4 linked regions of the Alligator mississippiensis genome follow. The protein of the gene in region 1 interacts with the protein of each later gene in a pairwise test. Links are inferred from orthologs where the notes say so. Each region holds a gene or a part of one and is shown in the gene's direction. Other genes may lie near its edges. The genes, in order: SDCBP2, PTMS, EIF1AD and NPM2.

Region 1 (7,385 bases):
GCTGAGGGAGGAGGTGCCCGCTTGGGCTGAGGCAGAGGGGTCTTGGCACGGATCTCTTAGCTGGGCTACAGGGCAGCAGTCCCCAGTGCCACCCCTTTTCCCGAGTCCTTGGCAAGAAGAAGGTGGCACCTGGGTGCGTGAGAACACACCCATGTCTGCAGGGACAGCCTGGGACAAGGTGCAGCATGGCAAGGGTTGCACTAGGGAGCATTTACTGCTAATTAACTAGCTGTTAATTATCCCTAATCGCACATACCTGAGGCAGGAGTGGAGACTTGGAAAACCCCGCTGTGTGGCCAGCTGGTCACTCCCAGGGACGGGCTGCCCTGCGTCTGGGGGGACAGCCGCTTCCTCCAGCATCTCCTGCAGCTCGGCCGTCTGTCGCGTCCCCGGCCGGCGCTGCGGTGGTTCTCTGTCTGGTGTTTGCTTGCACTACTGTCAAGCTTTGTGGGCACGGGCCCTGCTGTGCTCAGCGTGGTGCCCAAAGCACCTGCCCCAGAGGGCGTGTGGGCTGAGCGTGGCCTGGCGCAGCAGGGCAGGCTGTGCCAGCTGCGTGCTGCAGCATTGCCCCGAAGCCCGGCTCTGCACGGCGCCGGAGGCTTCTCCGCAAGGCAGGTTTGAGCCAGCGGGCACAGCCGGGCTCAGACTGGCGTGCCGTGTCCCCGCGCTGCCTCCGCCAGCTGTGCTCTGTGTCTCCCGCAGATGAGCGTGGGCCAGCGAGCGAAGATGACCATCTCTCCGGACTACGCCTACGGCTCCACCGGCCACCCCGGCATCATCCCGCCCAACGCCACCCTAATCTTCGACGTGGAGCTTATGAAATTGGAATGACAGGAGGCGCCCAGCCCCCGCTCCCTGTCCTTGGGTAGGTGGGGGGCTCTGGGGCAGGGTCCTGGGAGGCAGGTGTCAGGTCCCGGGTGCGGGGCAATTGGGCTGAGACTCGAGATGCAAGGGGGGTGATGGCAACGATGCACCCTGCGGATCCGGCTGCAGCCAGCCCCTCGTGCTGAGCAGGTGGGGCGTCGCGTCCCTCCGTAAGGGGCAGGCCGCTGGCACCCCATTGCCAGCTGTCCGCAGGTGGCATCGGCTCAGCACCATCTTTCCCCCCTCCCTCCTCCTTCTCTCCCAGGTTTGGCACATGGAGGAATCCAGAATCTCAGCTTCAAGAAGAATGCACATGACTTTGTACGGAGCTTTTCCTGATATTCCACTACACTCGTTGTATAACCCTGTACCTTGATTGAATGTGTTTGGTCACTCAGCTTTGCCTCTGACTCTTCCTCCTTGTATTGTGTTTTTATGTCTTTTAAACTATACGCCGTAAACCTCAACTTTTAGGGGTTTTTCTTCTGGTTTTGTTTTTTTTGTTTCCCCCCCCCCCCCCTTTTGGGCGAGCTCTTCATCTGGTTGTGTTGCCGGCTTTAGTGCGCCCTGGGGCGACCTGTGCTAGGGATCGTTGGAGCGAAGGAAATGTCGGGAGCTGGTTTTGTTCTGTTTTTTTTTTTGGATGCAGATATCTGTTGTGTATGACAAAGAGATTGCCGCTGCCGTTGCAAAAGCCATAGCAGAGCGAGGAGCTGTCAAGGGCTGACTGACTCTGGGGAGCAAAGGGGTCCTTGGCTGGCGGTGTTACTTCCCTGCCTGGGACTGAGACACGGGAACAAGTAGCTTCCTGCTCCCTTCCCGGCAGGGTGGTGCCACCACGCCAGCACTTCCCCCTTGGCGGTGCCCAGAGCGGGCAGTATCCTGCCCCCTTTGCTGCCTGCTGCCTTTACCAGCATGTGGTTGTTTTCCTCCCCCCGCTTCCTCCTCCTGGATTTTGAGGGTCTCTTTTCCTTTCGCCATCCGTGCTCCACCACTACATAGGCTGCAGCATCGCAAGGGGCCTTTTGTACGTGGACGGAAGGGGCTGTTTCCTGGGGGGGCACCGATAGGAACGAGCCCGCGGCGGAAAGCTGGCGCCCCCGCCGTCGCCGGGATGACGAGACCCCAGCGCTCCCGCGCCAAACCTGATGCTGGTCATCACCGCGTGCCGCGGCCTCCCGTTCGGTGCACGGCTCCACCTCCGCTGGCGTCACTTCGGCTCCCTTCCCTTCCCTCTGCCCCGCGTCGTGATTTGGTAAGAGGAATGGCTGCCATCGCTTCCTCCTCCACCGCCACATCAGAGTATTGAGTTTTATGATTGCAATAAAAGTGCTTTATGCTGGCTTTTCTCAACGCTGCCTCTCGCAGGTTTGTCACTCGCCTCTCTGCTGCTGTGCCCTTGGCGCGCTGCCCGGGGCTGCCAGTCTGGGCACCGGCTCTTGCGGCCTGCGGGCTTCTGGAGGGGGCAGCTTGCCTGGTCTCCCTTAGCAAGAGTCTGGATTCGTCCCAGTTGTGCTGGGAGACTGCCTGTCCCTCCAGCTGTCATTGCACTGCCCTAAACCTCTTAAAAAGCTCATCTTTCAGAACGCCGTCTGCATCTCCTCCGCCGCGGCAGCAGGTAACCAGCACCCGATGCCTGGGCAGAAACTTCCCCCGGCCGGGCGTATTGCAGGGGCCTGGCCACACTGCTTGCTTTGGGAGAGCTGGGCAGGGAGCGAGGCTCTCCCCAGCTCTGCCTGCATCCTCCGCGCTGTCTCCCTGCGTGGGTCAGCAGGGCCGCAGGGGGACCAGGGAGCTTGATATTTTTCATGCGTGTGGAGCTGGGCTGGGGCCCGGGTTTGCTCTGCAAGGGGAGCTGATCGTGCAGGAGGGCGGCTGAGGTTACGTCTGGGCTCGGGGGAAAGCGGGTCTGGGAAACAAGCTGGTCAGCCTGGTCTCCTCCTGCCAAGGGATGTGCAGCGATGGTGAGCCTGCTGCTGGCCTGTGGGGCAGTGCATGTGCCCAGGTCTCGTGCTCCCCCCACCCCACCTGCCACGGCTTTGATGCCCACAAGACCGGCTCGCATCCGAGGGGCTTTTTGTTCCGGCTTTAAAATGCTGCGTGAGTCATCGCTTGCTGCCTGCGGCTCCCCCAGCCCTCGCTAGGCACGGGTGTGGGTGGCACCGCGGCGAGCGCCTGTCAGGTTTACTCCCGGCCACTGCTGCACGTGTGGGAGCGGAGGGGACAGGCGGGGGGGGGGGCGTTTGCTCCCCAAAAGATCCCACCTTCGGCCAGTGGCAGTCGGCCGCAGCACCTGTGCCGTGTCTTGGGTGGGAGCAGCATTGCAGGTGCCTGGGGTCGGCTCCTACCCCCTGCCCACCTGGAAGCGCTGCCTTGGAGCGCTTTGCCATGAAGTCTCTGTGCTGCTGCCCTTGCCCCTGGCACCCCGCTCTGCTGCTGGCTCAGGATCCCAGACGGCGCTGCGGAGGCGGCCGGGCAGGGCCTGCGTGCTCAGCGTCAGGTGTGACGATTGCTAAGGTGCCCTCTGCTTTGGCAACGCCATCAACAGGGAAATACCGAGCGCTCGGGCAACGGCTGGCGGGGCTGCAGGTTGCATTCTGCACAGGTGAGCTCACCTGGATGCCGGCACCAGGGGCGGGCTCATCGACAGCTCCCTCAGCCAATGAGACCGGGGGGAGGTGTTGCACCCTGGGTGTTGTTGGCATGCAGAGATCCTCAGGTGGGTGCCTGCCACCGGGCAACTCCTCCCAGGTGCTTTCCCCCAAGGACCCACCTCCTGCCCCAGCCAGCGCTGCCCCAGAGACGCAGCCGGGCTTCCCCGGGGCTTGGCCCCAGGCAGCAGGCAAGGGCCGTTCCTCCCGCGTCATCTCTCTCGGCCTCCGCCGCAGAGTTTTGCAATCGGAGCAACCGGTTTCTCCGCTCCCAGCTCCGGGGCAGAGGTGGGGCTGCTGGTAGTTTCGGGAGGGGGAGGCGGGTCTGGACTGCGTCCAGCTCCGCGCGGAGCGGTTGAGGATACTGGGCACCGGTGCACGATGCTCCGGGATGGGGGTAACCCTGTCGGGGGAGCATCCGCACCGGGGCCTCGCCTGCAGCTGGAGCCCGGGCGCCTTCTGCGCGCGGTGCCATGGGCCTTGCCTGCCGCAGAGGGCGAAGGTCACTCGGTTGCCAGTTTCGGGAGCTCTGCTTCCTCTTCCTCCTCCTGCCCTATTGCCCGCACTCCTGTCCTGCCCTGGCGTCGCAGCGGGCACGGCCGCGTGCCCGGGGGCCGGTGACGGGGGTGGAGGGGCCTGAGCAGCTCCGCGCGACGGGGCTTCGTGCACCTGCTCGGACCCGTGCCCTGGCTGCAGCATTGCTCAGTGGTTAGAGCATCCACCAAAGCGTCAGGCATGCAGGGCCTAGGCTTGCTGCTGACTCAGGCGTCCCTGAGTCACTGTCCCCGCGGCTCTGACGTGGGCGTGCTTCCCACGCCGTGCGCGTGTCGCATGCGTGGAGGAGGCCGGTGCCATGGCAACGGCAAGCATCACAGCTGAGCCGCCGGGACGGCACGTCCCCGCCGAGGGGAGCGTGACATCACTGTGCGCTGGGTGCAGAAGCGCCCGCCGGCCGTGGCAGGAGCCTGTCGAGCACCGGGGCTGGCGGGGGCTCGTGCTTCCCTCTGCAGCCAGCTCGGGCACCGGCGGGGGGAGAAGGGCAGCAGGACCCGGCTGCAGCACTGGAGACCTGGCAGGGGGCTGCAGGGAGCAGCAACAGCCCTTGCAAATAGATCCTCTGGATCAGACCCGCTCCGTGCCCCCAAGCAGAGCGCCTGGTGCACCCCTGGCTCGGGGCACGTCCTAGGCCCCCTCGCCAGGCCGCGCTCCCTCTGTCACCTGTCACCTGCTTGCCTCCTGCATTCCCGGCCGGTGACTGCCAGTCAGCTGATGGAGACGGGCCCCTCCCAGGCTGCCAGCCCTGCTGGTATAAAGCCAGTGGGCTTTGACCCGGGCTGGCAGAGCGTCCCGGGGAAGGGAAGCCTGTTTGCAAGGTGAGCAGCGTGCTTGGGGGTTGCTGTTTGCAGCCCGGGCACAAGGAGCGTGTCACCCGTGGGTGGGCGCTGCGGGCCGGGGGTGCTGAGCAGTGCCGGGAGCTGGGCTTGCCGTGCCTTGCTCCGTGCCTCGCCCGAAACCACAGCCCGCGACGGGGAGGCTGGGGCTTGTTTTGCTCCGACTAGCCCGGGCTGACATCAGGCCGGGCCTTGGACGGCCCCGGGCCGCAGGGGAGGCTCTGGGGAAGGGCGAACCCACAGACGAAGGCTCGTCCCATGCCTGCAAGGATGGCGCTTTCTGTTTTGTGGGCTCTGGAGGTGCCAAAAGCCAAGGTCCCTCCCAGCATCCTTGTGCCCTTGGGGCAGGGGGCTGCAAAGAGGACGGAGCTGGGCTGTGCTCGGTGGGGGCAGATACAGGACAAGGAGCAATGGGCTCAGGTTGGATATTAGGAGAAACTCTCATGAGGAGGGTCACTGGAGGGGTTACGCAGAGCGGTGGTGCAGTCTCCATCCTCGGAGGTGTTTAAGACCTTGGCAGACAAAGCCCTGGCTGGGATGATGGAGTTGGGGCTGGTCCTGCTTGGAGCAGGGGTTGGACTAGATGTGACCCCCGAGGTCCCTGCCAACCCCCCTCCATGAGTCTGCGATCGGTCGTGGCCTGCGCCTGCGTACGGCGGTGGAGCCTGGCCCAGGTGCCCCAGACGGACCCGAGGGAAGCGGAGGAGCCATGGGGAGGGGAGGAGGCATCTCCCCTCCGCAGCCCGGGTGGCTTTGCCTGCAGAGCGGGCTGCAGGGTCAGGTCCGCAGCTCCCCAGGCCGAGCTCAGCACCCTGCCCCGGCTGCTGGAGTAGCCCCCAGCCCGCGGCGCTGCCACGTCTCTGAGTTGTCCGACCGGGACGTGCCATGCCACCGCGCTGTGAACGGGGCAGCGTCGCGGCGTGTCCCCCTGTCACACCGTGGTTTGAGTGAGGGTGTCACCTGGGACGCTCCGCTTCCTGCTCTGCCACAGGGGCCCTGTGGGGCCCTGGTCATGTCACTTAGCTGCTCTCAAGTTCCCGGCTGTAACTGCCCCGCTCTGCTGCCCTAGCGAGATGTTGCCAGCCACGCTGGGCTCGGACCTCGTGGCCTTCAAGGGAGCCACTGCCAAGCACCCAAGGTAGCTGGGCCTGGCTGCAACCTCCCCACCCGCTCCACAGGATGAATCTCCAAGCACGTGGCCTGTCTGCAGCTCGGTGCTGGCACGGTCACTCCGACTAGAGGGTGCAAAGCCTGCGGGTGTGGGGTCTGCAGTCCCTGCAATGTGGGCACACGGGCAGATCTGTGCCTAGAGCGTGTGCTGTGATGGGGGCTGAGCGTGGTGCCCGCCGTGGGCCTGCCGTGTGGCGGGTGCAAGGCAGGGGAGGGGGCTGCCTGGCTGCGCGGGGTCCAGGCTCCCTCCCCGGCGTGCGGACCCTGGTGCCCAGAGGTTACAGACACTCGGGCTTGAGCGGGTGCTTTCCCGGCCCGGGAGCCCCACAGCTGCGGGGAGCAGGCCCGGCACCTGGGCTTAGCCGGTGACAGGGGCACAGAGGCTGCCGTTCATGGAGCACTCATGCCAGCCAGTGCCAGGGGTGGGGCATGGGTCGTGGCCCCGGGGCTGGGTGCCAGCCCGGCTCGGGGAACAATGCACTGCCTGCGGCATCGGCCGAGGCTGCGGGGCACGGCCGGGGGGCCTGTCCTGGGTAGGAGCCTGTGCCGGGACTAGGGGCACCCTGCAGTGCCACGCCGGGCTGAGTCACGCTGCGCCAAGCCACGGGCGTGCACGGCATCACCGGCACCCAACACCTGCGCAGCAAGGCCAGCAGCCGCGCAGGGCACGGCGCAGCACGGAGCCCGAGTCACCTTGGGAGCGGCACGTGGGGAGCGTGTGCGTGCGTGCGTGTGTGTGCATGTGTGAGAGCAAGAGCTAGATGCATGTCTGCGAGAGATCTGTGGGTGCTGTGAGAGACGTGTGTGTCGGTGTGCGAGATGAGACGTGTGTGCGCATGCATGTGAGAGCGATGTGTATGTGTGTGAGAGGCGTGTGTGAGGGAGAGAGCTGTGTTGTGTGAGACGTGTGGGATGGAGATGTATGTGAGAGACGTGCATGTGTGTGTGACAGATATGAGAGGTGTGTGTGAGAGATCAGAGTGTGTGCAAGAGAGTGGTGTGTATGAGAGCTGTGCGTGTGTGACGACTGGGTGTGAGGAGGCAGAGCCGCAGAGTGGCTAACCCCCGTGGCATGCAGGCTCTGTGCTCGGGCGTGTAAAACAGCCTCTGTGGGGCGTGCCAGCCCCCCGGGGGCTCGGTGCCCAATGCCCACCCCCCAGCAGAGCCCAGCCCCCTCCCACGCACCCCTGGAAAGCCGCTGTGGCTGGAATACATGCGTGTGCACACACCAGCCCCAGGTCCAGACATGTGCAGACCCCCACCCCTTCCACCCAGATGCACACCTGCAGGCGTGCACGCACACAGACGT
Region 2 (7,342 bases), on another chromosome or scaffold:
AGCACATGGGATGCAGGAGTAACTTGGGTTGCAGCTAGGACTTAGAGAGTCATGGATGGAATACAGGAGACAAGGAAGCCGAGGCAGAACAGGAGAGGGATTGAAAATGGGAAACTGGGAAATCATGGATTAGTCATAGACAACAGACAGGCATGGGGCAATCACAGATGGGATATACTAGGGGAGAGGAAGACGGAGTATGGGGATGTTGCAGACAGAACACTGTAGGAGCAAAACAAGGTGCTGGAGGATCACAGACAAAATGCAGAGGAATCACAGATAGGATCTAGGGTGGTTCTCAACCTTTTTTGTACCAGGACCTATTTGTAAACATCAATGGCTAGTTCTGACCTAGTGCCTCTCACTCCTGATGCACTGCCCTCCACCCCCAGGCCCCAGCCCCCCAGTGTGTGAAGCATGGGCACCCCCAAGCAGCCCCTTGCAGGCTGGAACTCTGCCATCCTGCAAAGGAAAAGCCACGGCTTCCCATGTTTTTCTGCATTAAAGGAGAATCCATTTTTAAAGTTTGTTTATGATACTTTCATTTATTCTTGCGATCCACTTTTGGGTTGAAAAACACTGATCTAGGAGAGTTGAAAACAGGCTTTGGGGGAAACTAGAGATGGGGGCAGTTGCAGATGGGACACATGAATCACAAGGAGTCACAGGAAGAGGGAGGATCCAAAGAAGGTAGATGAGGAGAAATTCCACGTGTGATGCTAGGGGAGTCTAGGACTCAGGATAGTCACAGACAGGACACGGGGGAGTCACACACAGAACATGGAGTAGTTACAGAAGGCATGTGGGGAGGCTGTAAATGGGATGTTGGGACAGCCACAGATGAGGAAAGGGGCAAGTCACAGGTAGGACATGGAAATGGGAAAAGTTAAAAATGGGAAGCAGCATAGAACCCAGGGAGAGGCACAAACCTGACTAAAAGCAAGAGTCACAAGTGAGAGCCTGAAGGGAATAATTCATGGAATGTATATGAAGGACTCACAGACTGTAGGCCAAAGAGTGTCACAGACTTAATATAGAGGGGGAGCACAAATGAAATGCAGAAGGGAGTGAAATGTCACAGCGGAGTTCAAAGGCAGTCACATATCTGATTTAGGAACAGTGGGCATAGGTGGGACATGGAGAAATGAAAACAGGATATGGGGTAGGTGTTGCAGATGAGACATGGGTGGGAAAGGTCAGGCACGGCATAGAGGAGAGGCATAGCTATGATTCAGAAGACGGGAGAGGAACTGAAGGGACAGAGTTGTAGATGGGATGCAGAGGGGAATTACAGATGGGAAATGGCGAGAGGGACATTAATGAAGTGTTGGGGAGGGGGGGTCACAAATTGTGCATATCAGTCTGTGTAGCTGACCAAACGGCTCCATCTTAGCGAGGACAGGACACAATACCCTGATGTAAGCAGGTGCCTCTTTGTGTATCAATATCCGTTTAGGTATCATGCGCCATTCATCAAGACATCTGGGCACAATGACATCACTAACAAAAAGCATGTGCGCCTCTTCCCACTGTCTTCGATGCTGATTTCAATGCAGCTTCCCTTTGTGTCTGAGTATGCGTTTGTGCATGCAGTAGCGTGAGAATGTCTCTGTCTGTATCTCTGTTTGTGTCTGTGTGTTATATTTCTGCATTTGTCTGTGTGTGCTTGCTGCATACAGAGAGGGATCAAGGGGCTGAACAACAAGGTTGCTGGCTGGAGTCTTGTGGTTTGAGCAAGGCACTCCCCCTGCTGGAGGGAAGGGGAGTCGCTGTCTATGAATACTAGGGTGTTCTGGCTTCTGGTGTGCATTTCTCCAGAATCAAGGATGAGTATTTTATTGTGGGAGGGGGATAGGAGTAAGAGGACACTCAGGCAAAGCAAAGTCTTTGAAGTCTGACTGGCAGCTGGACACAGGAGGGGCTGACAGGAAGAGAGTTATGCAAAGGGGAAACAGAAGAAATAGCTATTGCACATCTGGCAAATTTCTTTGTCTGAGTGCCTGCCTTATATTCTTAGTGTGTAAACCCCTTGGGGAAGGGAGTATACATACATGTGTTTATGTGCAGGTGTGCGTGGACTTGTGTAATACGTGGTTCTGTGAGGCATTCATGGGTTACGTATATTCATAACATTACCTTCTAACGTAAAAATACTCAACCTTGGTTCTGTGTGTTTGCATACCTGAGCTGGTAGAGGCTGCATTACATTATGGATACCTTCTAACATAGTGAGTTAGCAAAGCATAGAGCCCCTAAAATCTGTCCCCTTTGCTCCCTGTGTACAACACCCCGCGCATATCCCCATGCATGCGCATATGCTGGTCAATATACCTGGGTTTTGATGTGCATTGTGTATGGGTTCTATGACTGTTTGGATGTGCAATGTGCATGCTTGTTCTCCAGCTAGGGACAGCCCTTGTGACATTCAGCCAGATGAAGCTAACAAGAGAGGCAAGAAGTGCCTGTTATGCGGAGGCAGGGACATTTATTTCATTAGGACAGAGTTTAGAAGCCAACAACTCCTCTCAAACAACCGTCAGAGGGGAACAATTTTCCCTGGGGAGGTTTAGGACCACATCAGCTGACCCCAGTGCCTGTAGAAGCAGAGCGCTTGTGGAGGAAGGCTCTGCATCTCCCTCCCTGCTATGCCATCCCCCAGCAGGGGGGCTAGAATTGAAGTGGCAACCGTGCATTCCTCCGAGCCTGACATCTGAACTTGCAGTCTAGAGCAGCAGTTCCCAAACTTAGACAGATTGCACACCGCCAATTTAAAACTATACAACCTTAAGTACCACCAGCAAATGTTTCCAGTTCAACCTTAAGAACCACCAGCAGATTTCTGTTATATAAAGTGATTATAAATCTGTTAACACGTACCACTGAGAGGTTGGTACCTGTACCACAGGCTGGGAACCGCTGGTCTAGACAGGAGAGCAGCCAGTGCAACTCTCTCCGATAGACAGCAGGTGTCAGTGTTGCACACCTAATCCTGAGCTCCTTTGTTTCACCCCTGCTCAGCCTTGTTCTGTTGAGCTGCCTGCTGGATGAACCAGAAACGCGATTGACCTGAATCTCCCCGGAAGCCTCGGGGATTCGGTGCAGCTGCTGCCTGTGGCTTCCCAGGGACAGAGGGTGGGCTGGGCTCATAGCTGCAGACCCGAGGTGGAGCCCTCTCCAAGGGCCAGCGGGAACGGAGACCGCGGCGGGCCCTTTGTGGCGGCGACTGCATCACCTCCTTTGTCTGGGGCCAGGGCCTGGTGGGCCTCTCGCTATTCCTGCAATATAAGGAGATGTGAAATGAATGGAGGCGGGAGCGCTGCTCATAATGTGGGGAGAGGGATACCTGGTCCCTCTTGCTCCTCTCGCACAAGCAGTGATGGGGCAGTAGGGCTGTTCCCCATCCCGCCACCAGCTGGCCTCACCTCGCACAGCACAGGCGGGCGGGGGTGACCCCGCAGTGAAGGACACCAGGGGTCCGAGCGGAGCAAAGGGCCCGCCCCCGGCCACACTGGTGCCCAGGCCCAGCCGCTCTGCCACCAGGGCCCAGGCCCTCACGCACTTGCCCCTCGGCCCCACGTGGCGCAAGCCCCTCCCCGGTTGCCACGGGAACCGCCCCTCCCTCCAGCTGGTCTCGTTCTGAGACCCGTCTCCTTCAGCCTTTTCCCTCATTGCGTAATTTTTTTTCCCCCCAACGGCCAATGAGCGCCCTGTTGCCAGGCGGACGGCTCATTTGAATGGCCCAATCAGCTGCCAGCCCGTTGCTCCCTCCTTATATGGGGAATTCGGAGCCTGCACAGGAGCGCCACCCGGACCGCGGACCAGAGCGCGGGAAAAAATACCGCCCCCCTGGTTCCCGCGTTGGGTCCGGCCCCGGACGTGACTGCCGGGCGCGGCCGGGCGCGGGGCCAGCGGGGCCGCAGCCCGAGTGGAAAATTCCAGGGAGGAGGGAGTAGCAGCCCGCGGCCCCAAGCCGGGCCCTGGAGCGCCGCCACCGCCGCCTGCCCCATGCGCGCAGCTGGCCTGGCACGTGGCGGAGCTGCCACGTGCCCCCACCCCGGGGCGCTGCAGGGAAGGGAAGGCCCCGGGCAAGCGTGCGGCCCGGGGGGGTCGGTGCCGTCTGCCGAGCCCCAACCGCGTGTCTGGCCCCGTGCGGGAGAGCTGGCCGCTGCGAGGGGTGCTGGGCCCAGGCCAGAGCCAGCGGCTGACGGCCCCCTCCCGCCGCGCGCTCGTGTGTCCCGGCGCCCCGCTCCGGGGCAGGGAAAGCAGCGGGGCCAAGGTCTCGAGCGGGCTGGCGGGCAGGGGCGCCAGGCGCTGCCCGCCGGCTGATTTGCCCGGCGCCGCGCCAGCCCCGGCGGGCACGGGGAGGCGCGCTCCGCTCCACTCCCTCCCTCTTCCCTCCTCCTCCTCCCGGCACCGCTCCCTCCCCCGGTCCCTCCTTCTCTCGTCACCGGCCGGGCTATAAATCCCCTTCCCGGGCATCGTCCCCCCCGCGCGGGCGGGCGACCCTGGCACTCTCGGCCCCCGCTGTAGCCGTGCCCTTCGCCTCGCGGGACGCCCGCGCCCCTGTGCCGCCGCCGCCGCCCGCTCAGCCCGGGGAGGGGCATCGCGGCTGCCCGCCATGTCGGACAAGCACGCCGAGGAGGCGCCGCCGGAGCTGAGTGCCAAGGTGAGCCCCGGCGGCGCGGGGCGGCGTGCGTGCCCGCTTCGCGCCTGCACCTGCCCCGCCCGCGGCCGGGAGCGGGTGAGACGCGCCGCGCCCAGCCCGCCCCGCCGGGGAGGGGGCACGCGCTGCCCTGCCACCCGCCCTCGCCTGCCCCCCGCCGTGCCGGGGTGCGAAGGATGAGGTGCGCGGGGTGTGTGCGCGCTGCTGGAGAAACATCCCCGCTCTTTGAACTGTTTTTCTGGGAACCGGCGGGGGAGGGAGAGGGGAGGGGCGCGGGGCAGAGCGGATGCAGGGAGCAGATGGGGCCATTGTGCCTGACAGACGTTCTCCCGCCGGCGCGGGACAAAGGCGGGGCCCGCCTGGGGGCGGGCGGGAAAGGCCCTGGGGAACGTGTGTCACCCGCTCGGGTCTTTCTTCCTAGCCCGAGTAGGTCAGGGGCTGAGTTGCTCTGCTCTCCCCCAAAACGCTGCCCCGTGTGTGTGGACTCCTTGCTGGCCTGGAGCATGCTCCCCAAGGACAGTGGAGCTTGGGAAGGTGTTTTCCCAACGGAGAAAACCTGGGGTCCCCACGTTCCGAGGCGGGGACAGGGCTGCGGGGCTTGCTTTGCGGGGGGGGGGATGCTCCCAGGGCTGGGGAATGAGATGAGGGTAGAGGGGGCTTTCCCGGTCAGACAGAGGACACTAGAGCTGATCCTGCCCTCCCCTCTGCGAGGGACACTGCCCTGAACTTGGTACTGGAGCAAGGGTTTTTCTGTGCCGGGGGCGGGGAAGTTTCTCTGGCAAAGACCACACGGCTGGTGACAGGAATGGCCTGATAGGACCAGCCCACTACGTCCTGCGGCCGGAGTCGGGGCTCTGGCCGTGGGCAGCCTGGGGAGGCGGCGGGACCCCCCTGGTGGACAGTTATGGCATCGGTTCCAACAGGGGTTGCCGTTTTCCTCCTAATGGTTGGCCTATTTGTCCAGCCCTGGAATTTGTGTTTTATTACGACCATCTTAAAGTTTCTCCTGTCTAAATATAACTCTTAGATTTTTGTTGTTTTCCGTATGTGTCTGATCCACTTTAAAAAATCTCTTGGTCTCTGTGTAGTATCCTATGGGGATTAGGTCTTACTTGCCAATTGTGGGTTCTACGTGAAACATTTCCATTCCTCAGGTTTAAATCTGCTGCTTTTCCTTTTCCTTGTCTGTCCCTCTGTCCAATGCCCTAATTGTTATTTTTTGTTTGTTTGTTTACTTCTTTTATTTTGCCATGTCTTCTCTTGTTCCTCATTGCTTTCAACTTTAACAGTCTCATCCTTTCACTCTCTTTGCCACTGTGGGCTTAGGCACATTGGTGTAACCAAGCAGCACACATAATGACATACAGCCTTATGCTGTTGTAATATACTTGAATCCAGTGTAGAATTATCTTGGGGGGAAAAATCAGGAGTAAAAAAATGCTGCCGTAAGTTATAGTGGCTTCAGTATTGTGTAGTAGAAAGCTACGTTTCTTATCCCTTTGCTATGAACAGACTACTGCTGCTCTCCTTCCACCTGGTGGTGAAGTGCAGGCAGCAACCTTGGGATAAACTGGTGGCTTTGGATACTTGAATATAAGTATATTCCCTGAAGCATCTTGGTGGAACCACACTCCTTGGTGTAATTTCCATTGGCATACACAACTGATATAAATAATATTTGTGCCAATGTGCTATGTGTCCAGGTATCAAATCTTGGAATGATTTTTTTTCATTCTATATTTAGGACCTGAAAGAAAAGAAGGAAAAACTGGAGGTGAAATCTATTCACAAAGAAAAGAAGAAAGAAGTAGTAGAGGTGAGGCCAAATGTAGTCTCTCTTTGGGATGCATGTTTGGAGGAGGATTTTGGCAGTAAGAGAGGCAGTTGGCATGGGGAGGGGTAGCTTGGGACAGAAAGAAGGAATATAGGAGAAGGGCAGGCTACTGCAGTTTAGGAGGGAGGCAGGTGGCAGCTGAATGCCAGTTAGGTGAGGGAGTTTTGGAGATGGGATGCATGGTTAGTACAAACCAGGAGGAGGAGAAGGACCATCAGAGATATAGGCCAGGGAGCAAGGAGAAGGTAGATGGCAGAAAAGGGTGCGGGTGAACAGGAGATGGTATGGAGGAAGAAGGGGGAGTGCAGAGCCTGGTCCAGGTTGGGGAAATAGCAGATTGGAAAAGGAAAAAGGTGCAAGGGAACTACCTTGTAAAGCACTAATTTACAACCTCAAGGCACCTGTTAGAAAAAAACAGCTCTTACCTTCTGTTGTTTCTTGACTGTGGGGAGCAATTAGAGAGAAATTCTTCTGTTGCAAGGAACTCAGAAAAAAAATGGGTCAAAATGTTTTTGACACTATGGATTCCTATTTGAAATCTCTGGGTTTATCTTGTGAATCATGCCTAGGTGTTTGCGCACCTAACAGTGATAATATTGAGCAGGACCCTTAAAAGGATCTCATGGCAACCCAGGGTGCCATGGCACCCTGGTTGAGAATCACTACTGTAGAGACTGAGAAGGAAGAAGAACAGTTTGGGGATTTCAGGAGGGTTTCAGGCAGTAGGGTGGTCTGTGTAATAATAGAGCGAGACCAGAAGTTATGTGGGTGATACAGTTCTGTGGGAATCTAGGGGGTTTTAGTGCTAAGGGAGCCAGATGACAGAGGATGCATGTTGAGAAGGG
Region 3 (7,196 bases), on another chromosome or scaffold:
TTTGCCATTTAGTACTTTGGAAACCTCTCTGTCCCATGGGCGACTGGTGCCTCCTAATACCAGTGGGGGGGACACCATCAGCCAATTGCTGACCAGGGTGGGGATCCCCCAGCAGCCAACCACCACCACGGGCAAAAGTGCCAGCAGCAAACCCCAACTGTCACTGGCACTTCTCTCGGAGGGGCACGTCTCACCAGTGCTGAGTCCCCCTCAAGTGTTTCTAAACTAAATAGGCTGGTCTGTCCATCATCCATCCACCCCATGCTCCATGCACCCACTCATCCTCTTGTGGGGGGGGATGATGCATACCATATATATTTGCAGGGGATGGATATGGTATAAGTAGAGAAAATATGTGCATCACAAGCAAGGAAATATGGCATATAACCCCCCCCCCCCCCAACATATATGTTATATTCCCCCCTACACACAAATATATACCATATATATATATGTGAGAGAAATATATAAACAAAAAATGTGCATTATAGGCAAGGAAATATGGTGCATATCCCCTCAACCCCTCCAAGTATACACTGTATATCTCTTCCCCTCACAAATATATATGGTCCATGTGCAGGGGGAAGGGGTGGGGGGAGAAGGGAGGACGCATACAATAAATATTTCAAGGAGTGATCAGTATTTATCCCCATTATATATATATGTGTACATATGCATGCGTGTGCAAATGGCATATATACCCCCCAGCCGAGAGCAGATCAGTCCACTTCCACCCTACCAGACCCCACCCCGCAAGGGACCAGCCTAGGGCCCAGAAATATTCACGCAGCCAAACATTTATTGTTCCTTTACAAAAAGACCTTTACAATGATGGTTTTGTCCCTCCCACCACCAAAAAATCCCCCCCTCCTCCATTCCTTCCCCCCTTACCGCCCATGGCCTAAAACAGCCCCAGAGAAAGGGCTAAAAAGTCTCCCCCCAGCATCACCTCTCCGGGAATAAGCTGGGAAAAGATTAAAACTCCCCACATTTAGGCTGGAAGGACACAAAATCCCACTGGGAAAGACATCAGGGCGGGGGAAAATTTACCGCAGCTTCCAGCTGATGGTTGGCGGGGTTGTTTTTCTTCCAGCCCCCTTTTCTAGCTAGAGAGCAAGCTCTTGTGGGGGGGAAAAATGGGTTGGTTTTAGGCACAAAGGGGTGTGATAAGGAGTGAATTTATTCTGGATGTGGTACAAAGGCGATGGTTCCCTCCCGTCCCCGCCCCCCCATGAGAACTACCAGGGCCTGATAGAGCCGGAGGCCAGGAGCCGGCAACATCTGCCCCTCACAAGAAGGCGTCACACCACTCCCGGAGGCAGCCAGAGCAGTCCCGCGATTGCTTCGCGTTGGCCCCGCACGTGTCCTTCAGCCACTCGCGGAAAAGCTCCTCATCCTTCCTCAGCACCAGGAACTGGCCAAGAACCACATAGGCCTGAGAAGGGGGCAACGAAACATGGGAGTTACTGTATTTTCCAACATACAACATGCACTCACCCCCCACCAACTCCAATGGCTGGAAATTGAGGTGTACATATTATAACTGGGGAAAGATGGTAAAGAGAGTGGGGGGGTTGGCTGCTTAAGGCAACTGAAAATGGAGAGGTGCATTATAAGCAGGAATATATGGGAAAACTTTTTTTGCTGCTGGGTGCAGGAGGAGGGGCGCTGGAGGCAGGGCTTCCTAGCTGCTAGCTGAGAACAGTCAAGACCTGGAGGCTATTCTTTGTTAGAGCTTTTAAAAAACAAAAAGTGGGTTATATTCCAGGGTGCATTACGCACAGGAGAGTACAGTACAGTGCTGCAGTGTTCAACCTCCAAGCCAGTGGCTAAATCATGCCTGTGGGGCTCTCCAAGGCTGGGGAAATTTGGCAGCGGGGCAGCAATGGCTACTGCACTGCCACCGCTCCCCGCTGCCCAAATCCTAAGCCCCACATGGCAGTTCAGAGCTGGACCATGTGCCCCCCATGGTCAGATGGAGATCTGGCCATGGGGGCTGGCTCAAAACCAAGTCAGCATGACCCAAGAGACAAGCCCTTCCCCACACATGGCGGGAACACAGCCAGGTTGTGCCCAACCCACTCTGCGTGGCTGGATGGGACCCCCCCACGGCTGTCCTGGGGGCCGAATTGGGTCCATCAGCCAAACGTGGCCCCTGGAGGGAGCGAGTACAGCCCATCCGGCCACTCGGATGGAAAAGCTGAGGAACGCTGCTATACAGAGGAGCAAGAATTTTATCTGAGGGAGCGTTATACATGAGAAATGACGGTACCTGCGCCCTGGAAGCCTACTGAGCCACGAGGCCAGGCACCAGGGCCCTGCCCCACCACACGCACCTTGTCAAAGCCTTTCTCCGCCAGCTTCTTGCCCAGGACCTCGCCAATGCCGGCCAGGCTGCCCACCGGCTTCTCGCCCATGGGCTCGGCCACGAAGTCCCGGTGCTTCTGCGAAGTGGACGACATCTTCCACGCGCCTCGGCCACGCCTGGGGGGAGCGGGGCCGCGTCAGGCTGCCCGTCTCCAGCTCCCACACCCCACCCGGCTGCCGACGGGGCCCCCAGACCCGCCGCGGGGACGTCCCCGGGGTTTGGGATGGAGTGCGGGGGGGCTGCAGGGGGGCGGACGCAGGCCGGAGCCTCGAGCCGCCGGCTGAGGGGACGGGGGCAGAGACGCAGCGACCTCATGACGGCCCCCCACCCTCAGGGAAGACCCCCAGCCTCCAGCCCCGGCAGGAGGACCGAGCGGTCTCCAAACAAGGCCAGAGCCTGGAGCAGCCCCTGCCAAGGCTGGACGGCACCTGCTGCTGCCCGTCAGGGGCGAGGCCGCGTGGGCAGCGCACGGCCGGGGGGGGAGGGGCCCCGCCCCTCCCCCCACACGGGGATACTCCCTCTGCCCTTCCCCCACCCCCAACACATCCCCGGCACCCCTGAAGTGCACCCCGACAGGCCCCGCCTGCGCGCCCGGCCGCGCCCCGCCCCCACGTGGGCGCCGGGTCCCGTCCCGTCCCCTCCCCCAGCCCCTGGCACCAGGCTCGCCCCTCCCCCCCCACAGCCCCTCCCGCTACAAACCCGCCGCCGCCGCCCACGACAGACGCCCCGGCCCCACTCAGCCTCCGCCGTCCCGGTCCCAACGGCCGCTCCCGCCCAGCCGAGCACCCACTACGCCTGCGCGCGCCGCCGCTTCCGGGAAGTGGAAGCTCTGCCCCGCCCCATTGGCGGGAAGGAGCGCGGGGCGGGAGGCGCTCTGGTTCGCTCTATGGTGCGTTCACTCCTCCAAACGTCTCTAACCATAGAGAGGGCGCCGTGAGTCACTCTATGGTCAATTTAGTCCTCCCACCCGCTCCTTCGCCATAGAAAGGGGGCGGGGGGGGGGCTCTGCTTCGCTGTATGGTTAGCTCAGTCCTCCAGGGATCTATAATCATAGAGGGGGGAACGCTGTGGCGCGCTTTAGGGTTTACCCAGTCCTCCCGCCCCTGTAACCATAGAGAGGGGGGCGAGAGGGGCTCACTCTAGGGCAAACTCAGTCCTCCATGTACCACGGGTTAAAGGCTACCCTGTCTGCTCTATCCCAGGATAACCATAGAGACCGGTTAGTGGGCGTTCTGGCTGCTCCCCCCCCGGCCCCCCGCGTCCCAACCATGGAGACGAGAAATGACGCTGGGGGTGCCATAGGGATGACAGCCGGAAGTGGCGTGGGGGCATCCGGAAATTGCCCGGGGGAGGGGAATCGAGGGGACACCGGAAGTGCCGCCAGGGGACGGTGATGGGTGAGACACCCGGAAGTGCCGGTTCCCACGCGGAGGGAGAGGCAGGAGCCGACCGCCCCAGGTGTGTGCGCGGGGGATCCCCGGACCCCTGGGTCCTCCCAGCTCTGCGGATGGGGGCGGGGGGCGGAGGCCTGCGATCTCTCTGGCCCGGCTGAGCCTCCGGCCGCGTTTTCCTCCCGTAGCTCAGCTCCCGGAGACCCCGGCTCCGCCCCGACCTCCCCCCCACAGGTAGGGCCCCATGCCTCTATGCCAGACCTGGGGGGGGAGGGGGGTCACCAGGACTGGGAACCCCGGGGGGGGCCGGGGAGCAGCAGGAAGGCTCCTGGCGCCGTGTATTAGGGGACTTAATGGGGAAACGGAGGCACGGAGGGAAGGAGCCGAGCTGCCCCGGTCTCCAAGTCTCTCCCCTCCCACCGCTCAGGGCTGAGCCATGTCCCAGGCCACCAAGCGGAAGCACGTGGTGAAGGAGGCGCTGGAGGAGCTGGTGGTGCCCACAGCCCAGCAGCAGATCGTGCGGGTGAGTGAGGGGCCCCGTCCCCCCCCACCCAGCACCAGCCACCCCCTGGCCCCGGGTGCAGGGAGTCTCATCCCATGACAACCCTGGAGGCAGCTCAGTGCTGCTCTGTCCCAGGACAAGTGTGGTCAGGGCTGGGGGAGCAGGGCAAGGACCGGCCCCTCTGTCTACTTTCTCCTAGGATAACCAGCACTTGTATTAACCCAGCGCCTGGAAGGAGTCACTGTGGGTTAAGGGCTTCCCTGCCTGTCGGCTGGATGCGCTTATCCCAGAATAAAGACGTGGGCAGGGAAGAGTTGGCATGGGGTAAGGGCTTCCTTGCTTGTGCACTCTGTTTTGGGATAACCTATGGGAAGGAAGGAAGGCGTTATCCCAGGTTAAATGCCAATGCCTTCCTGCCTCTGAGGGAGTGCTGGGCTGCCTATAGAGCAGTTGAAGGAGTTACCGTGGGTTAAGGGCTCCCTTCCTGTCTGCTTTATCCCAGGTCTGATACTAAGGCTGCTTATCCTATGGAAAGGAAGGAGTTACCCCCATTTAAATGCTGCCTTCTCCGTCCGCTCTGTCCCAGAGGAGGGAAGGAATTAACATGGGTCAGGGGCTTCCTTGTCTGTCTGTTCTGTCCCAAGACAACCAACCTTAGCATTAGACCCCTGGGTGAGAAGGAGTTACCCTGGGTTAAAGCCTCCCCTGTCTGTACGCTGCATCCTGGGATAATCCTGGCCCCTCCCCTAGGTTGTGGGCAGCCCCGGGAACAACCTGCACGAGGTGGAGGCACCAGGGGGCGGGCGCTTCCTGGCCAGCATGCCCCCCAAGTTCCGCCACAACCTGTGGATCAAGAGAGGTGAGTGGCTGCAGCACCCCTGGGGGTTGGGGGATCCCCACCACCCACTTCAAGGCAGGCCCCGCCCCCTCACCTGCCCCTCCCACCCTCACAGGTGACTTCCTGCTGGTCGATCCCATCGAGGAGGGCGAGAAGGTGAAGGCCGAGATCAGCTTCGTGCTCTACAAGGACCACATGCGCTACCTGCAGCAGGAGGGGCTCTGGTATGTGGAGAAACCGAGGCATGGGACAGGGCAGTGCCACCCCAACCTTCCCTCCCCTGAAATCGGGAAGATTAGGTCTTTATTTCAGAGTGGAGAAACTGAAGCACAGCAGACAGCAGCTCTGAGACCCCCCACTCCCACCCCCTCCCATGATCCCTCCATGGTAGGCAGTCCGCTTCCTCTCTGTCCCTGTGCTGAACTGGCAGGGAGGATTTAGACTTAGCTTCTAAGTGAGGAAACTGAGGCACAGGATGGTAGGCACCAGCCCCTCCCCCCCCACCACTGAGACAGGGGGAACACCACACTCTTAGCTTCTGATTCTGAGTGGGGAAACTGGGGCACAGAGGTTCAGGCAGCAGCCCTGGGACCACCCCCCACCCAGAACCCTTCCTGGCCATGCAATCGCAACTCCCACTTTCGCTTCAGCCTTAGCTTCGGAGTGGGGAAACTGAGGGATGTGGGAGCAGACACAGCCCTAACACCGCCCCCCCCCAGCCAGGCAAAGCTATCCCCCAACCTTCCCTCCACTGAAGGAGGGGCTCTTAAGTCTTAGCTTCTGAGTGGGGTACCTGAGGCATGGAGCTGCAGGCACATACAGGTTCTCTCCCCTTGCCTTATTGGGTTCAATGGGGCTCAGCTCTTGGGGGTTGGGGGGAGGATCCAGGGCACAGGGAGTTAAGTCCTGGGGAGTGGGGTGGTATGGCCTGGACTTGCCCCACTGGTGTCTTACTCCTTATAGCCCAGAATGGGGGGATGGCAATCAGGGCTGTGCGGGAATATAAGGGGTTAATACCAGCTGGGACTGGAGCAATGGCTGGTAGGGGGAGGGTCTGTACCCCACTAATTTCTGCCCTTGTCACTGGGATGGCTTCTACTGGGACCACTGGTTCCCAGTTGAAGGGAGGGGCTACATCCCAGCCCTCTCTTCCCCCCTACCCCATGTCTTACTATCCCTCCTTGCAGGCCTGAAGCCTTCTCAGATGCCCCCAACAGGCGGCCCAGCCCCCAGAGCAGGTGAGTGGGACCCATTGTACCTGGCCTAGGTGCCCCCCAGAGCTGGCTCTATCAGTTCTACTCAGCTGCTGCTGCTATGTCCCACCCCAGAGCCACCCGCATTCCAGCCCATGACATACCCAGCTGCTGGGCACCTCATCCCAGAGGTAGCTGGGGTTGTGCTGTATCCAGCCCCTAAGGCAGTACTAGGCTGTGGGGTGGTATTGGGGGGGGTGCTCCAGGTGCCTGGGTTCTCACCCTGTCTCTGGCAGGGTGGGGGAGCCGCCAGCCGCCCAGGAGGATGAGGACAGCGACAGCGACTTGTTTGTGAACCCCAATCGGCTCCGTGATGCAGGCACTGACAGCGAGGATGAGGACGAGGATGAGAGTGAGGAAGAGGAGCAGTGACCCCTCCCCACCACTGGGGCTGCTATGGACTCTGCTGGCAGGTGGGAGCCTCCCTGCCCCAGCACAAAAGATGTGGCTGCTTCTGGGGTGGGGCATATCATACAGATATGGCCACCTCTAGGGTGGGTGTTAGCAGCCAAGTGTAATAAGCTGCTGCTGCCTCTGGGCTGGGTGTAACACCCACACCGTAACCTTGGGGATGGGGTGCAAGCAGCTAAGTAGAACAGCAATGGGACCACCACTGGGGCCTTAAATCAATGCAGCTGGTTCTGGGGTTGGGGCTCATCAGCGGCCAAGCATAATGGCCACCTCAATAAAGACACTGGCAACTGCCCCCCTCAGTGGCCGTAAGCTCTGTGTCCCCTCCCCAAATGCCTGGGACCCTGCCACAGCTGGCTCTGGGGTGGGACACACCTCACCTATCCCCCATCCCAGCTTCTCTGCCATCACCCCCCCCCCCGGCTATTTTTTG
Region 4 (7,749 bases), on another chromosome or scaffold:
GCAGACAAGGTTCTTGGGGTACATGTGGTATCTTCTTATTAGACCAACTAAATATTTGGAAAAATTGTTCTTTGCAAACTTTCAGGCACAGGGAGTCTGCATGGGTGTTACTGGCAGGACAGGTTTGTATTCAAGACTTCGTTGGACAGTGCCATCAGGCCTAGGTGCTTGGCCTGTGATGGCAGATTATTCAGCTGTGCCTCACAGCTTCCCTGTCTTGGAGGTATCAGTTGATTATCTGAAATATTTTAATAAGCTCTGTTCCTTAACACTAAAGAGCATGAACCCATACCTGTTGAACTGCTTTGAAACTATGGTTTGAACTTAAACCAGAACCCAGAAAGAATCTCTGCAGCTGCTTTGACAGTAGAGTAATTTGGCTTCATTTTCATTTTGAACGAGCAACCCTGCAGCTTGCCTCCAGCTCAAGGGCATTCTTCCCAGTTCACATACCAGAGCAGAGGCCACCTTTTTCTACTGTTGGCAAGGACTTGAAGTAACTGCACTCACGCAGAACAGAGCTCTGCTGCTACTGCTAGCTCTTCTGCATCAGCAGCCCCTTCAAATCTGAAGGGCTTTGCCAGTGGATTTAATATTCAGGGTCTTCTGGTTAGGGATGCCTCTGACCATGAACTAGATGCTGATGAAACCTGTACAGATTCACTTTTTATTGAGCCTCAGGGAGGCAGGGGACAAAAGGCCTGAACTGATATGCAAACACAGGGCCCTAAGTTCTTTAGCCCACTCCTTTCCTTTGAAAGACACAAGCCAGCAGCAGCTACTGTGTCCAGGGAGTATCTTATCCCCTTATTGCTTTCATCTATAATGAAGAAAAGGTGGGTGGGGGGGAAAGGTAGGAAAAAATACTGCCCTAACAGAACTTGTCTAGTAAAGAAAGAATGCCCAGAATTGCAACTGGAGATGATATGGACACTTGTGGTTTATTGTTTCAAACTGATTAACTTGCAGTATATCCCAGTGACACGGGAGGCTTGTCAAGTCTAGGAAGAACCACACCAGAGAAGAGCAGTGCTCCAGGGAGATGCAATACCTTGTGAGAAGTTCTTCAGCTGTTTTCAGATTTAAGGCTGCTGATTCCCAGGTTACTGGTGCAGGGTGCCAGGGGATGCTATTCTGTGCTTCCACCATCCCACTGTATGTAGCAAGATTTAAGTCACAACCATTTATTGACAGGGCACTTCAGGTCACTTGAGCACCATAAAAGCACAGAGCAAAAGCTGATCTCTAAGTCAGGTTCCCCTTCAGTTGCTGCGTGTTCGTGTAGCTTCAGAGCAACTGTTAACACTCCTGCAGCAGGGAGTGGCCCCATCCAGTGTACAGAAGGGGTTTGTTCTACCCATGGTCACAAGCTGCCTTCACTGCAGCAGCCATCTTCCTCTGGGTGGCTGAGTTGTAGATGACGCTGTTGTAACCCTCTCTGTTTCGAGCAATTTCAATGGCAAAAAATTGGATCCTGGTGGCTAAAAGGAGGAGAAAATAAACATATCTTTATAGCAGCTCTGTGGTGTAAGGTATCTTCCCCTCCCAACAGCTCTTCCAAGCTTCTACTACTGCCCCCTTCATGCACAGACATGCAGCCTTTTTAATCCAGAAGGGAACTGCTCCAAGACTTAGGGCTCTAGGTGTGGCAGGGCACAGCTTCTTCTGCAACAGTTACCCCTTAAAATAGCACTTTTTGTGGGTTAACCAGCAGAGCAGACAGTCTATAACTTGGTGCTGAGTCTAGGTTTGGTTCAGTATCTGAGGAACAACTTGGTTTTTGTGTGTTGACATGACAATTTTTTTCTTAAAGACAAGTCAAATCAGCTAAATCAATTCCAGATCTCAGAGTCATTCAAGAACCATATGTGGCCCTACTACAGGCAAGCATCCTCCACCCATGCCCGAGGCTTCAGATGTTTCCAAAACCTTCGGTGGGCATCCTACATGCAGGCCCAAGTCTGGAGGCTTAGAGTTCGGATACCCCCGAGTGTTGCCTGCCCTCAGCCATATGGCCACAGGAGCAAGCTAGGGACAACCTGGCACTCTATTTAGAAGTGCCACGTAGAAATCTGCGCCCAGTTTCTGCATGGGCAGGCCTTCCTCTCAGGTTGTACGCGGCGGTTTGCTCACCAAATATCGTATTCTCTTCCGTGTAGTCTTTGCTGCAGTCCAGCCGCAGCAGGGTGCCGTAGTTGAAGTCTTCGACGACCCCCTCAAACTGCATGCAAAACGGACGCCACTTCTAGAGACAGAAGAGCCGGGGCTGTAAACTTCTTCCGGGCAGCCGGATGAAGCAGGGCCCATTCTCGGCCCTCAGATCCCATGTCCCCGAACCTGCCTGCTGCTCACGATGCCTCGCCCGCATTCGGGAGAACAACAAGCATGCCGGCGAAGCCAGAAAGCACCCACAGTCGGGAATCCCTTCACGGCAGACGTGTCTCCAGCGTGGCTTTGCGTCGTCCCACGCCACGACCGCTGTGGCGCTTCCCCCCCTTGAGCCTTCTCCCTCCTTCCAGCCCAAGACTTTCCCCTGGGGCGACGCCGCGCCCCCGTTGCAGCTTGCCCAGAGCACCAACCTCCTTGGCTGGCTCCGATTTGAGCTCCTCCGGCTCCAACACGTCGATCCTGAGGCGCCCGAAGCGCTCCCGGAAGGCAGCGTAGATCTCCTCATCCACCTTGGTCAGCTTCAGAAACGTCGGGTCCACCGAGGAAATGAGCTGTTGGGGGGTGGGGAAAGGGGAGAAAACCCGGGGCCGGGCTCCTGGGTCCCGACAGCTGCGAGCAGCAGCGCGCTCGACCCCCCCCCCCGGCGGGAAGCAGGCAGCCCGGCCCCGGCCCCGCACTCACGTTGAAGTAGACCTCGGCGTGCTGCGCCGCCTTCATGGCCCACATCATCTCCACGCCGGGCTGCGGGGACGGGACGGGACGGGACAGGGGGTGAGGGGGTGCGGCCTCCTCGGCCCCGGCCCCGACCCACCCCCGCCTGGCTACTCACGTCGTTGCCGTAGGCCTCGGCCGGCAGGGACAGCGCGCGGGCGGCGGCCGCGGCCTCGCCGGGGCCCTGCGGGGAACAAGACACGGCGGCTCAGGCGGGCCCGGGCGGCGCCGCCCCGCAGCCCCCTCCCCCAGCCCCGCCGGGCCTCACCAGGGCGCCCAGGCCGCCGCCGGCAGCCGCCATGTTGCCTGTGACCCCTGACCTTTGCCCCTTGTGCTCCGGGGGTTCGCTTCCGGGCGCGCCGGAAGCTGCCTGTGCCGGCGTTCCAGGGGAGGGGAGGGGGTGCGCATGCGCTGCGCCCCTGGGTCGTGCTGCCCCGCATGCACCGTACTGCACACAGCTCCCTCGCCTCATTGCAGGCTCGCAATCTACATTGCAAATCATTGCGTGGCTCCTACATTGTGCTGCACGGCTCCCACACTGCGCTGCATGGCTCCCACATCTCATTGCACAGCTCCCACACTGCACTGCATGGCTCCCAAACCACTGCAGGGCTCCCACATTGCACTACACAGCTCCTAAATCGCTGCACAGATCCCATGCCTGATTGCATGACTCACACGCTGTACTCCACAGTTCCCACACGGCACTGCAGGGCTCCCGCACTCTACTGCATGGCTCCCAAACTGCATTGCATTGCTCCCATGCTGCACTGGATGGTTCCCAAACCACTGCAAGTCTCCCACACTGCGCTGCGTAGCTCCCAAACCACTGCACGGCTCCCACGCCTCATTGCATCGCCCCCATGCTACGCTGCTGCACTGCGGGGCTCCCAAACCACTGCAGGGCTCCCATGCCTCATTGTACAGCTGCTGTGCTGCACTGCACAGCTCCCACGCTGCACTGTAGGGCTCCCAAAAACTACTGTGCAGTTCTCACACCGCACTGCATGGCTGCCAAACCACACTGCACAAGCCCAGGCCGTGCCCCAGCCAGGCCCTGTTCCGGGGGTTGCCCCACAACCCTTGGTCCCTGCCCCAGCCCCGTTCTCAACGAGAGCACAGTTGACACGTGTATGTGCAAACAAAACCACAAGGCCCCCGGAGCCGGCCACGCCAGGGGATTGTGGTCATTGCCGTTTGTTTGTGGAATGGCAGGGTTACAACTGAGATTGTTGCTCCAGGGTCTGTATGGAGGTGTCCGGCCCTGCTTGGTTTAAAGTCCAACTAGACGGACAGCCGGGAGGGGGGGGGAAGGAAACTGAGGCATAGAGGAAGGAACTGAATGACTCCAGACTGTCCAGCAGCTCAGTGGCAGAGCCAAAGATGGCACTCAAGGCTCCTGAGTCCCAGTTCGGTGCCTAATCGATTCCACTGCACAGACCAAGCCCGTCAGAGCTGCAGACAGCTCCACTGCCTGCATATATCTGACTCTTTTCTAAGCTAGACATATAAGTGCTGGGATGCCCTGGGCACCCCTGGGAGGATTTTGCATAGCCCTACCTTTCAGGTTTCTGTATTCTCAAACCTTGGTTCCCAGACTTAATGGGGGGTTTCTCTACCCATTTGTCTTGGAATAGCCGAACCTTGGATCTGTGGGTTTAACTTCACATTTGTACTACAGAAAGTGCTGGATGATAGCAATCACGACTGTGTTTCCACTGGCCAAATTTCCTCCCTTTGAAGGAATCTCCTGTCTTTGAAGAGAAAGGGCTGTTTCCCTTTAAGACCAAATTTCAGCAAGGTGAGGCTAATTGAATGAATGGTTGAGCGGCTCACCTGCTCTGCCTTTATAAGATGCCTGGTCCAGAGGATGGTTGTATGCAGGGTTGGTTAGGTCTTTTATGTAGGGTTGTTTTTTTATATGAGCTGCTTGCTGGGGTAGGTGGTTGTATTCATAGCCCCTTTCTGTGTAGAGGGGTTTTTCTTTGGTGGTTTGTATGTGGTTTTATGTTGGAGAAGTGAGTTGTTAAGCATAAATATCAGTAAACTCTGCTTTTCCCCTTTAAAGCATTTTCTGATCATTTGTATGACTTGAGTCCTTAAGTGAGAAGGATGCATGAGGTTGGTTACTCCATGTTGTTCCCCAAAATGCTTTTTTACAGGGGCTGTTCTGCTGGTTTCTTCAGCAGAGATGTGGTCAGAGGCAGTAGGTAACAGTAACTCAGAAAGCCACTTACATAGGACAAAGATTGAAACTGGACAATGGGAGCTTTGTGTTCCTGAGCTCTCAAACTGCAGCTCTAATATTTGGGGTGAAGGAAGGATAGTAGGTAGCATCTAAGAGCAATCACAGGAGGGACACTTGTGAGTAACAACTTCATGTTCTCCTTGTTTTGTGCGGAGGAGGAAAATCCAGCTTCCTAACTGAACTAAACCAGGAGATGACCCCCCCCCCCCCCCCACCTTCATAGATGCAATTGCTGCTCTGTCATTGCAAAGCCTTTCCAGCTGAATAGAGACTCCTTTAAGTAATGGTGCCTTTTTTTTTTCTTTTCATAGAAAAGGTAGATTCTGGAAACAATGGCTCTTACCAACAGTATCAACAGTGACAGTAAATTGGAGAAGCCCATATCTCTGATTTGGGGTAAGAAGCTGCTTGCTTTGCACCTGAGTGTCTGAGAAGCGCTTGGTGATCAGTGCTCAGGTTATTTCTGCTGTCTCCTTAACACTACTTAAAGCTGTTGCTCCCAGTCCTCTCTCCCATAACGGCCTTCTCTGTTCCAGAAATCTGCTGGGGGGGTTGGATTTTTTTTTTTTCTTTTGTGGTTGTTTTTGGTCTTGTTTTTTGTTCAGATCTTCCCTACTTGCAACCTCCACTTACTCCTATAAAGAAAGGCTTCAGCAATAATGAGGTGTCTCCATGGAGAGTCTTCTTGAGAGCTAAATCTTGGTGGCTTCTGAGTCGTTCAGGTCTTGGCTAAAACAAAGTGCAGCCTCTGAGGTGTCTAGTATCTTTTGCTTCTCAGAGGTGCAACAAATCCTTGGAGTGAGATGGGGCTAAGGGCCTGCTCCCTGGAGCACGCTGCGTTGCCAGTCGTGCTATGCTGAGTCCACCTTCAGCTGAGGTGTAGATGCTCAGCTTGGTCTGAGGCAAGGCTAGCTGGAGTGCATCCAATTGCTCTTTTTCTCTTGTCTCCTTCCTTCCCCCACAAAATGGATGTGTTTCAGCGTCTCCTTGGCTCATGTTGGCCAATGGCAGCGGCAGTGCAAACAATATCTTTGCTTCTAATGCTGTCTACCAGGCAGGAACATAAGTGAAAAGACCCTTTGAGGGGCAGGGTTTCTTGCCTCCTAGACTGAGAAGCCATTTGGAGATTGGGGTGGGGGGGAATACAGAGACACTTTGCAGTTCCCAACACTTCTCCTTTCCTAGTCCCCTTTGCTGGGGGGGGGATAGCGAGCACAACCTGTTGAGACATCCCACCCTTGATAGAAGCCTGTGCTGTGAAACTCACGCTGAGCATGTGATGCTGGAGGTGGGGTGAGCTGCCTTTATGATCTGATTTCTTTTTTTAATCGCTGATCTCTGCCCCCTTCCACAGGCTGCGAACTGAGCGCAGAGAATACAACCTGCACCTTCAAGATGCCAGATGACTGGGCCTACGAGCAGCAACTGGCCTTGCGGATGGTAGGTACCTAGCCCATCCTTTCCCACAGAGGATGTTTGGGACAGGGCCCTTGTGACTGGCTTTGAAGTGGGGGTGGGAGGTGTGTATGGGATGGGAGCCTGTCTTGTAAAAAGCCAGTTGCAGAATAGGGTGAAGCAGAGGGTCTGGCTTCTCCAATACCATGCTTCTGGACTGCAAGTGGAGTCTTCTCATTGTCAATGTGCCCGTGAGAGTACAAGTCTCTTCTCACCAGGCAGTGAAGGCAGCCCATTTGGCCTTGGGCATGTCAAGTTGGGGGATACTCTGAGCAGAGGCTGTCACCACTGATAACACAGTGCTAAAGGCTTGTTCTTCTCTCTCCAAAGATCTGCGTGGGGGAGAAAACCAATGATGAGCTCAACATTGTAGAGATCATCCCTCCAGAGGACAGCCAGGACCCAAGCCCTGTAGTCCTAGCTGCCTTGAAGCCTTCTGTGCTGCCAATGGTGAGAGGCGGGGGTGTGGGCTGGCATTTACACAGCCTGGAAGCTGGGTCAGAATCGAGCATCTAGATGACTCCTGGAGATGGAGAGCAGGTCACTGATAAGCCCAGGTCTGAGCAAGCTGAAGTGCTAACTTGGTGTGTAGGCATGCTGAAATGTGGAGGGAACAGCCCTTTGAGGAGGATAGCACATGAGGGGTGAGCACTGCCATGCAGTCTTCAGCTTTTTGGGACTTGATACAAAGTCCCATTAGGCCTTCAAAGCCAACTAGTCTCCAACCATAGCTTTTCAGGGCATAACCTGCCATCAGCCCACCCTCACGGCATCGCTGCTGTCTCTTCCAGGCCCCCATGGTGGGAGTTGAGCTGACGCCTCCTGTCACCTTCCGGCTGAGAGCTGGCTCTGGCCCAGTCTACATCACTGGACAGCACATTAATTGTAAGTGTGGGTGCAGCGGGGTTTAGTCTATCCAATACTGACATTAGGGCAATGCAGTGTGTGTTGGTTCTGGTGACTGCAATACTTGCTGGGTCTCCTCTGCTTCAACCAAATGAGAGAATACTATAGCCAGCTGGCCACTGCCACCTCTGCATGATGGGAATGCAGTAAAGCCCCCACCTGTGTACACTACACCCTGCTGCTGGAGCAGGGACTTTTGTGCTGCTCGCATGTCTGGACCATAAACTGTCCTCCCTTCCTGGGAGGGGTAGCTGATGTGT

Evidence for each region.
Region 2: the proteins of SDCBP2 (region 1) and PTMS interact in a two-hybrid assay, tested with the Homo sapiens proteins (2 studies listed by BioGRID and IntAct). The two-hybrid records come from large-scale screens. The link is inferred for Alligator mississippiensis from reciprocal best matches to the Homo sapiens genes SDCBP2 and PTMS.
Region 3: the proteins of SDCBP2 (region 1) and EIF1AD interact in a two-hybrid assay, tested with the Homo sapiens proteins (3 studies listed by BioGRID and IntAct). The two-hybrid records come from large-scale screens. The link is inferred for Alligator mississippiensis from reciprocal best matches to the Homo sapiens genes SDCBP2 and EIF1AD.
Region 4: the proteins of SDCBP2 (region 1) and NPM2 interact in binary tests that used the Homo sapiens proteins (3 or more experiments, as listed by UniProt). The two-hybrid records come from large-scale screens. The link is inferred for Alligator mississippiensis from reciprocal best matches to the Homo sapiens genes SDCBP2 and NPM2.

The regions. Positions count from the first base shown.
Region 1 is NC_081832.1:2,012,321-2,019,705, reverse strand, and holds the start of SDCBP2 (syntenin-2), read left to right. Parts: upstream 1-4,380; 5' UTR 4,381-4,888; intron 4,889-7,385. Other genes in the region: peptidyl-prolyl cis-trans isomerase FKBP1A, read left to right, coding at 703-831.
Region 2 is NC_081824.1:243,755,488-243,762,829, forward strand, and holds the start of PTMS (parathymosin), read left to right. Parts: upstream 1-4,325; 5' UTR 4,326-4,618; coding exon 4,619-4,666; intron 4,667-6,407; coding exon 6,408-6,479; intron 6,480-7,342.
Region 3 is NC_081838.1:4,500,196-4,507,391, reverse strand, and holds EIF1AD (probable RNA-binding protein EIF1AD), read left to right. Parts: upstream 1-4,192; 5' UTR 4,193-4,195; coding exon of another isoform or gene 4,196-4,282; intron 4,283-4,460; 5' UTR 4,461-4,580; coding exon 4,581-4,585; intron 4,586-4,763; coding exon 4,764-4,869; intron 4,870-5,011; coding exon 5,012-5,120; intron 5,121-5,214; coding exon 5,215-5,323; intron 5,324-6,286; coding exon 6,287-6,337; intron 6,338-6,588; coding exon 6,589-6,724; 3' UTR 6,725-7,057; downstream 7,058-7,196. Other genes in the region: BANF1 (barrier-to-autointegration factor), read right to left, coding at 1,289-1,435, 2,337-2,462.
Region 4 is NC_081830.1:18,887,968-18,895,716, reverse strand, and holds the start of NPM2 (nucleoplasmin-2), read left to right. Parts: upstream 1-4,736; 5' UTR 4,737-4,818; intron 4,819-5,042; exon of another isoform or gene 5,043-5,244; intron 5,245-5,439; 5' UTR 5,440-5,460; coding exon 5,461-5,524; intron 5,525-6,482; coding exon 6,483-6,568; intron 6,569-6,913; coding exon 6,914-7,033; intron 7,034-7,374; coding exon 7,375-7,468; intron 7,469-7,749. Other genes in the region: protein PBDC1, read right to left, coding at 1,354-1,481, 2,134-2,245, 2,580-2,720, 2,851-2,910, 2,999-3,064, 3,201-3,320. UniProt on the Homo sapiens protein: Core histones chaperone involved in chromatin reprogramming, specially during fertilization and early embryonic development. Probably involved in sperm DNA decondensation during fertilization.